Linked DNA regions of Alligator mississippiensis. The protein of the gene in region 1 purifies or fractionates together with the protein of each later gene. This does not show direct contact. Links are inferred from orthologs where the notes say so. Each region holds a gene or a part of one and is shown in the gene's direction. Other genes may lie near its edges.

Region 1 (3,909 bases):
CAAGATCCCAGTGTGGAAAAAAAGTGGGGTAGTGCATGTGGGGGCAGTGTGCACTGGCCAAAACTGGAGCCTGCCCTCTGTAGCCATGCTCTGGCTGCTGGCCAGGCTCCCTGGCCCCTAGGGAAAGCTGCTGGGGTCAACACAGCTGCTGGCCCCGGCCTCCCCTCCCCTCCCCAGGGCAACCTGCGGTGTGCCATTGTGTCCATGGCATGGGCGTTCCCTGGGGACAAGGCAGTGGTACGAGGTGTGCTGCCGCTCCTCGTCCCCGGGGAACCAAACATCCGTGCACACCTGGACGCAGCCCCAGCAGAGTAAAGTGCTGCCCATAGCTCAGCACCACACTCCTGCAGCCCCAGCAGGATGCCTCCTTCCTGGGGTCAGGGTGCCAGTGCCTTACTGTGTGACATATTCAACCCCCACTTCTCTGGGCACAGGATTAAGTGGGGCAGCAGAGGACACCGGGGTGCAGCGTGGTGCCCCAAAGCAGTGCGTGTGGACAGCGACAGAGCTGGGGGAGGCGAAGGCACTGCAAGCTGTGCTTGCTCATCCCCTGCTGCAACAGCGCAGAACACGCCTGTGCAACAGGAGCACCGTGTGCCTCAAGCCGGGATGCTGGGCAGTTTGCCCACAGCTTGACAGAGGCGGCGGAGCAGCTGCTGGGGAGTCCCGCACCCCTGTGTCCCTTGTGCTGTGCCAAGGGGGGGTCACCACGCTCCTGCTACCCTGCACCACAACACATTGTGTGCGACAGAAGCGGGCCATGAGGGGGCCGCCATGCACGGGCCCACTCTTGCAGCTGCACTGCCCAGCCTAGCTTGGCCAGATCTTAAATACCAAACGATTGCATTGAAAGCTCAAAAAATGATTGTAATTTGCTGGGGGGGGAAAGTACCGTACCCCGAAAAATATGTAAAACAAGTATTTTTCTGTATGCTGCTCATGGTAAGCGAGAGAGCCAGAACCGGGCTATCCAAACCGAACCATTTATCTGGAGGTCCTGAGGAAGCAAAGCTGAGAGTCCCTGAGAGGGGCTTGTGGGGGTTGCAGATGCTGCACCCACAACCGACGGGCGCTCGAGGAGACGGGCTCAAAGCCTCGCACACGTGGCAGCGCCCACAAGCCTGCGCACGCACCACCCACACCACCGCCCCGCCCCGCCCCACTGACGCATGCGCACCCCCGGGTGGGTGACGGCGCGTTTGCGACAGCCGTAAGTGAGGCTGCGCGCGGCGCGACAGCGGCTGGGCAAGCTTGGCCCGTGCAGGGAGGGCTCGGGGACCGGGACCGGGATCGGGCCCGCGGGGGTGGCGGCGACAGGCGGACGGCCCGTGCCCGTAGGCCCGCGCTATGAGGCCGCAGCCGGCGCCCGTGTCGGGGAAGGTGTTCGTGCAGCGCGACTACAGCAGCGGCACCCGCTGCCAGTTCCAGACCAAGTTCCCAGCCGAGCTGGAGACGCGGGTAAGGCCGGCCCGGGGGCTGTCACCCGGGAGCTGTTATGGCGGCTTAAAATAGGACCGCCTTAAGTCCCCCCGGCACGTTTGGGTCACGTAAAGTAATTGCCAAGTTGGTCATACACAGTAATGGTAGTGGTGTGCGTGTCGCAGGTTGGAGGACACCGCCGAGTTGCTTGTCGCTTCCTGCTCGCTCCTCCTGGAAAACAGCATGTTTCACGAATGAGTGGTTCGTGCCAAGCACCTGCTTATTAAAGACATATAATTAAAGCCACGGCCGTGTGGGAGTGCCCCTGTTACAAAGCATGACGAAAGCCGCCAGATTGACCCTCAGCCTCCGGCTCCAGTCGCCCCCGAGGTCCCCGCTCTTAGCGTTTCTATGCTCGCGCCAGGGTGGCACGAATGCCTGCCGAGAGCCCGGGTGTTAAAGCTCCTGCGGTATGAGCTAAGGGCTGTGTCCTGCACCCCGGGCACCTACAGTGTCTGGGGACACGGGTGTGTCGGAGCGTGCGAGGTCACGCCACGCTGCTTTGACACAAGTGGCTTGGGAGGCTCGGTTTGTCTGACAGCAGCGAGATGAAATAGTCCCTGTCTAAATGGCCCAGAGCAGATGGCTGTCCTCCTGTGTTTACTTGACGCTGTTGTTTTGAGTGAGCAAGGCGAGTAGTCTTGTTCCCTCTACATGCTGGGTAGCATTGCTTTCCTGGGGGACAAAAGTCTGCAAAATGATTAGTTGTCTTCAAATTGACCTAAACTGATCTTTGGGATTTTAGCTGAAAGGGACATTTTGTAGTTAAATAAAGGGTAGGTTCCTGTGGGCAGGGAAGTAGAAATGCCCTCCACACTCTTGCTTCTTGCCTATGCAAACAGTAATTAGAAAATACCGAACTTTGAATGTGATGTAGAAATCTAGACATACAAATGTGCCTACAAGTCTAACTTCCAACAATTATGAAACCCTTCTGTTTTGATTCTCTCTCTGATCTGTGCCCTTGTCACAACACAAAGGGCAGCCGGGGCACTGAGAAATAAGGCATGTATTGTTGTATAGAAACCCATCCTCTGACAAGGCCGTTCTGTTGAGCCTGCGCTTCAGCAGCATCACAAACACCCTCTTATATTTTCTATCAATGTGCGGGGTTTTGTTATTTGCAACACTTCCTTCAACTAGTGGAGTAACTCCTCCTGGTCAAATATTTTGTGCATTTCTTGTTGTTGGCAAATATCACTTAGGCTACGTTTGCCTTCTCTTTCACATCAAATCTGATACATCTTTGTTTATATCACTCACAAGCTTGATTGGCACTGGAGCAACAATCCCCCATACTTGAGGCCTTATTCAGATAGAGATTTGCCTATATGCTCTTTCATTGAATAGTGGTTTAAATCCCGAGTCTGTTTCCCTCTGATCTGTTCTTTTCACATCAGACCCCAATTCTTATCTGTGCTCGCTTGCGGGCACAGCATTTCAGTTGTGGTAGAATTCATTCTTGATGTAATTGCTTAGCTGAAAATTGAACAAGAGCTGCCGTTTTTGGAGGCCGTTTTATACTAAACGGAGCTGTGGCTCTCTCCACGGTGCCTGTTTGAAGCAAACGGTCTCTCAGTGGCAGTGTAGGTTACAGCTGTAAAAGGTAAAAGTGAGGTGGATGTCTGTACAGGAGGTCAGTGGAGCTCACTTGCTGAGCATGCTTGCTGAACTTGGACTTTTCTGCAGATCGATCGGCAGCAGTTTGAAGAGACTGTGCGAACTCTGAATAACCTGTATGCAGAAGCCGAGAAACTTGGGGGCCAATCTTATCTCGAAGGTTGTCTGGCCTGCCTGACTGCCTACACTATCTTCTTGTGCATGGAGACACATTATGAAAAGGTAAGCCAGTTTGATTTGCTTTATGACCTGAAAGACAACACTCAACACTACATTAATTGAAGACTTACTTCATTTACAGTGATGAGTAGCACAGTGAAGTCTCTAGTACAAAGCCGAAATAAACTCTCATGCCAGACCGACTTCCTGAAATTCCTTGTGTGTCAGATCTGCTCCCCTCTTGCTCAACTGTTACGTATGAAATAGATTCTGTTTGACTCTCCACATAAAGGGCGGATTTCATGCTGTGATCATTTTTCCATTTTACTCACTTTTTATCTAAATACACAGTGTCACACTGAAACTCTCACCTGACAGTTCACTCATGAAAACTTATGTTTGATTAAATATACCTGGCCTATGGTGTCCCTTGTACAGGCTGGGTGATTTGCAGGAATTCTTTATGGGGAATCAGTCATGCAGTCATTTTGTGATCCTCGTAATGGACTGAGGTGAGGGAGAGGGCATCTCCAGTTTCCCTTCCTGGGGGCTTGGCGGAGATGCAAATGGGATCTGAGCTGGATATCTGTCTGGCTTGCTTCCATTTATTCTTTGAAGAAAGTGGAGATGTGCCCAATTCAGAGATAAGAA
Region 2 (3,909 bases), on another chromosome or scaffold:
TCTTTCCGGTCGTCCTCTTCTTTCTGTAGTACCAGTACATTTCACTTAGTCCCATTTTAATACAGTCCTTGGCTGCGGGGTCCAAGTGCCTGTTTGTGAGCAGGTTCCTGGTTTTCCACAGTGCAGACCTGAACAGCTTTCTTTTCACTGAGAGTTCATCATTAAACTGCGGTATTCTGAATCCCCTCCATCCACTGGCGTCTTTCTATGCTAGCATTTTCCCTTTACAACCCTGACAGGTTTGTGGAGGAGTGAGTCATCCTTTTTACCCCTCCTCACCTGTTTTTTCCTCCTTTTAGGCCTCTATATTGAAACGAACCAACATCATTATGCAACACACACCCCAATAAGTAGGCCAACACGCAGCATTCAGACTTTCTTACACTGGTACTGTTGCAGCTCACCCCACAGCCATCTCCTGCTGCAGCCTTAGAGGCAATCGGTCCATGCTGCAGGGCGCTCCCTGCTACTGAGCCATCACCCTGTCCTGACACAGCTGCTTCGCAGTCGCGCTGTGTCCCCGGAGCTCGGGGTTGGCGACCTTTAGGGCTGAGGGCTGCTGCTGTGGGCTGCCAGTCCCCTCCGGGGCACCTTCCTCCGCAGTGCCCCAGCCCTCCCCACTCCAAGGCTGCCCTCTCTCGTGCCCCGCTGCTGCAGCTCCCGCTTGCCCTCGCCCGTGCTGGGCAGCGGGGGAAGCGCAGGGAGGCCGGGGGGTAGCACCTGCGGGCTGCTGCAGAAGTGACGGGGCAGGGAAGCGCCTCCGCCACTGCACGCTGGCACGTGGGGGGCTCCGGGGCCCGGTGCCTGCCTAGGAGCTTGTGTAACTCCATCCTCAGGTGCAGCAGAACCGAGAGCTTCATCGCCGAGCCAGCAGGACGCGCAAACAAGTAGGTGGACGCTAGGACCCGGAACCCTGCCTGAACAACCCGACTTCCGGGCGGGGGAGACCTTTAAAGCGGGTCTACCTGAGCAGCCAATACCAGCACACTTTTGTCATAGGAGTTCGGGGCGTGAGGGCTGATTGGTTACGCTTGCTATCAATCAGTTTTGAGCAATACCAAATGCGGCCTTCTGGCATAGGGGGGAAGACTTCAGATCTCCTCCACGTTTGGTCGCTGGGCGCATGCTCAGAGAGCGTCTCTTTCCCCCTCCCCCCTGCCCGTCTCTGACTTGGCGCAGGCGCAGACCTGAGGAATGGCGAAGCTGGGGAAACGTCCACCCCCTGCACCCGGCCCATAGCAGCCAATCAGCGCTCACGGGGGCGGTGCAGGCGCGGGCGCAGGCGCGGGGCGGCGTGCGCGGCCGCCACCAACCGGCGGCAGAGCAGAGCGGAGAGTGGTGCGGCGCGAGCCCGACCCCGAGCGCGCGGGTGGGGGCGCGCGGCTTCTTTGCTGCCTGGGCCGCGTGGTCGCACCGGGCCGGGGCCAGCGGGTAAGTGCGACCGGGCACGCCTCACCTCCGCCGGGGCCGCCCCACCCCCGGGACAGCGCTCGGGCCGGGGCCGGGAGCGGCCTGCGGAGAGCGAGGCCGGCGCCTGGCCCCCCACGGCGCCCGGTGACAGCCCTGGCCCGACCCGGCCCGGCCCGGCTGCTTGCTCCTGCACTGGGGACGGCCCCGCCCCGCCCCGCGGAGCCGCCGGCCAACAGGTCGCAGCGGCCGGGCCGGGCCGGGCCGGCCGCCGCTCGGGGTGTCTGTCGCCCCCGCGCCGTGGCTGGGCCGTTGGGGCCGGTGCCCGCGCGCGTGCCGGGCGCTGGGCAGAGCCGGGGGCGGGTGGGCACCGCTTTGCTGAAGTAAAGGTGCGGTGTTGCCAGCGCCTCGGCCCGGCCCGGCCCTGCCCCCCTCCCTGCCCGGCCACGCTGGACCAGCCCCAGCACTGAGCAAGGGGGCAGGCAGGCCTCTCTCTTCCCTGGTTCCTGAGAAATGATCTGCTCAAAAGAGAGCCCGGGCCTCTCTGCTTCTGATACGGCCTGGTGGGTCCCTTCTCCCCCTTCTCCAGGCCCTTCCCAGAGCCTCGGGCTCTTCCTTTGGCTCTAAATGCTGGCCTGTGCCCGCTCCTGCTGCCTGGGCTCAATCCAGTAGCTCTCCACGGGCCTCTCTCCATATTTGTTGTGGCTACATACAGATATTTTGTTGGGACATGTTTGAGATCACTTTTACCCGTGAGCTATGAAACTGTTAAAATTATAACCCCAATGCAGGCTGGCATATAACCCCACATGACTAGTTTCCAGTGTTATGTTATATCCTCTTGAGATAATGCCCCCACATTAAATTAAGGCCGACATTTAAGTCTGTCAAACTTTACCTGTTCTGCCTTTTCACTCTGCTCACAGATCAAGGGAAAGCAGACTTTGAATGCATGCATAGCTTACGTGGATCCTGCTTTCAGGAAATGGTTTCTTGTAACGTTGTCTTATGCAGTTTGAAATTTCTCTAAGCAGTCTTATTTTAGATGGCGTTTTTCTGGTTGGTGTCATCCCATTGTGAGTCTTTCTGGATCAGCAAATGTAACTAAGACTTTGTCTAGATTCAGACTTAAAGGAGCGATGTTCAAAGAAGCTTGATCTAAATGACACTATCAGACTCTAGTCAAGGCCAAGTAACTGTAGTTTTAGGAGGAGGCTCTGATTCATCCTAGTTTCTCCTAAAATGCATTGGATTTTTCTTGACTAGCCTGAGATGGTGTTAATTAGTTTGAGCTTTCTAGCTTGGTGTAACATCACACCTTTTAAAGCCTAGACTAGATTAGGCTGATTTATGGCAGGCTGTGGAATGTGTCCATTGCTTCTGCTCCTGACCAGTACTTCTGGTGGTAGTGAGTCTTTATTGATAGGACACAAAATATGGAGTTCGTTCCCGTCTTTGTGAACCAAGCTGCAGCATGGGTAAGACATCCCTGTGCTTCACCTGTAACATAGGGAGAATCCTTTGTAAAGCATTTTTAGACCTGTGGATGGAAAGTAGGGTATTAGTGTTTAGTAACAGTACAAATTACGGCAGCAGATACCACTCCTGTTAGCTTTGGAGTCAGACTTTGGTCGCTTTGTTTGTGTTTCCACTTTTCTCCAAAAATAAAGCTAAGTACATAACACTATATCCAGGCAAAATGTGGGTGTCACAATTGGGACTAGAAGTAAGGAAATACAAAAGTTAGTCCTCCACAGCATCATTAACTTGTCTGCCCTGATATGAGCTCATATTTTCTAAAGAATCATTTCTTAAAAGGGAAAAAGTAGAAGAAAATTGCCTTATTCAGGAGCCAACAGCCTTTTACAAGTTGCGGCCAGAACAACCTGACTCTGGTGCAATTCTGTTTGGGTGGCTTTTGCAGCATGTTGATAGCAGGGGAGCTTTCCTCATGCCCACTCTGGAGTTATGCAGCTGGGAGCAGCCCCCACACTACCGCTGCTTCTCCCAGGGCCCTGATCCCATGTTGTAGGCCAGGTACATTTTCCAGCCAGTGTGGCATTGCACCAGGAGCAGATATCTGCAAACTGTGTCTGTGTTGCTGCCGTTTCCCCCCTTCCCCCTGCCCGTTGCAGTGTAGGCACAGTCGGAACCTGCGTGGTCAGCACAGTTCCCAACCAGTTGGAAGCTCATCCATGCCACAGCAGGAGGGAGGCATGGGGGAGAAGTGGTGGCACCAGGTATGCAGTTTGCTGATCCTTGGCCCCAAGACAGCTCTCTGGTCTAGAAACTGCACCTCTGCTGCAGCTGGGAGCCAGGGGCTGGGTGAAGTGATGCAACACCAAAACCACCCAGCCTGAGCTGGACCAGAACCAGGAGGGCAGAAAGAAACAGTAACAGTGTGGGCACAGCTTGAAGCTGTGGATCCTTCGTGTGGGTATAGGCGAATTCTTGAGCTCTGTGGACTGGATCCAGCTTATGGACTGTATGTTGTCGACCCCC

What was found.
Region 2: the proteins of GOLGA7 (region 1) and ZDHHC5 purify together in Homo sapiens (co-immunoprecipitation; 3 studies listed by BioGRID and IntAct, with this or other methods). This does not show direct contact. The link is inferred for Alligator mississippiensis from reciprocal best matches to the Homo sapiens genes GOLGA7 and ZDHHC5.

What each region holds. Positions count from the first base shown.
Region 1 is NC_081830.1:17,408,442-17,412,350, reverse strand, and holds the start of GOLGA7 (golgin subfamily A member 7), read left to right. Parts: upstream 1-1,221; 5' UTR 1,222-1,347; coding exon 1,348-1,458; intron 1,459-3,168; coding exon 3,169-3,321; intron 3,322-3,909. UniProt on the Homo sapiens protein: May be involved in protein transport from Golgi to cell surface. The ZDHHC9-GOLGA7 complex is a palmitoyltransferase specific for HRAS and NRAS.
Region 2 is NC_081825.1:172,569,555-172,573,463, reverse strand, and holds the start of ZDHHC5 (palmitoyltransferase ZDHHC5), read left to right. Parts: upstream 1-1,271; 5' UTR 1,272-1,431; intron 1,432-3,909. UniProt on the Homo sapiens protein: Palmitoyltransferase that catalyzes the addition of palmitate onto various protein substrates such as CTNND2, CD36, GSDMD, NLRP3, NOD1, NOD2, STAT3 and S1PR1 thus plays a role in various biological processes including cell adhesion, inflammation, fatty acid uptake, bacterial sensing or cardiac functions.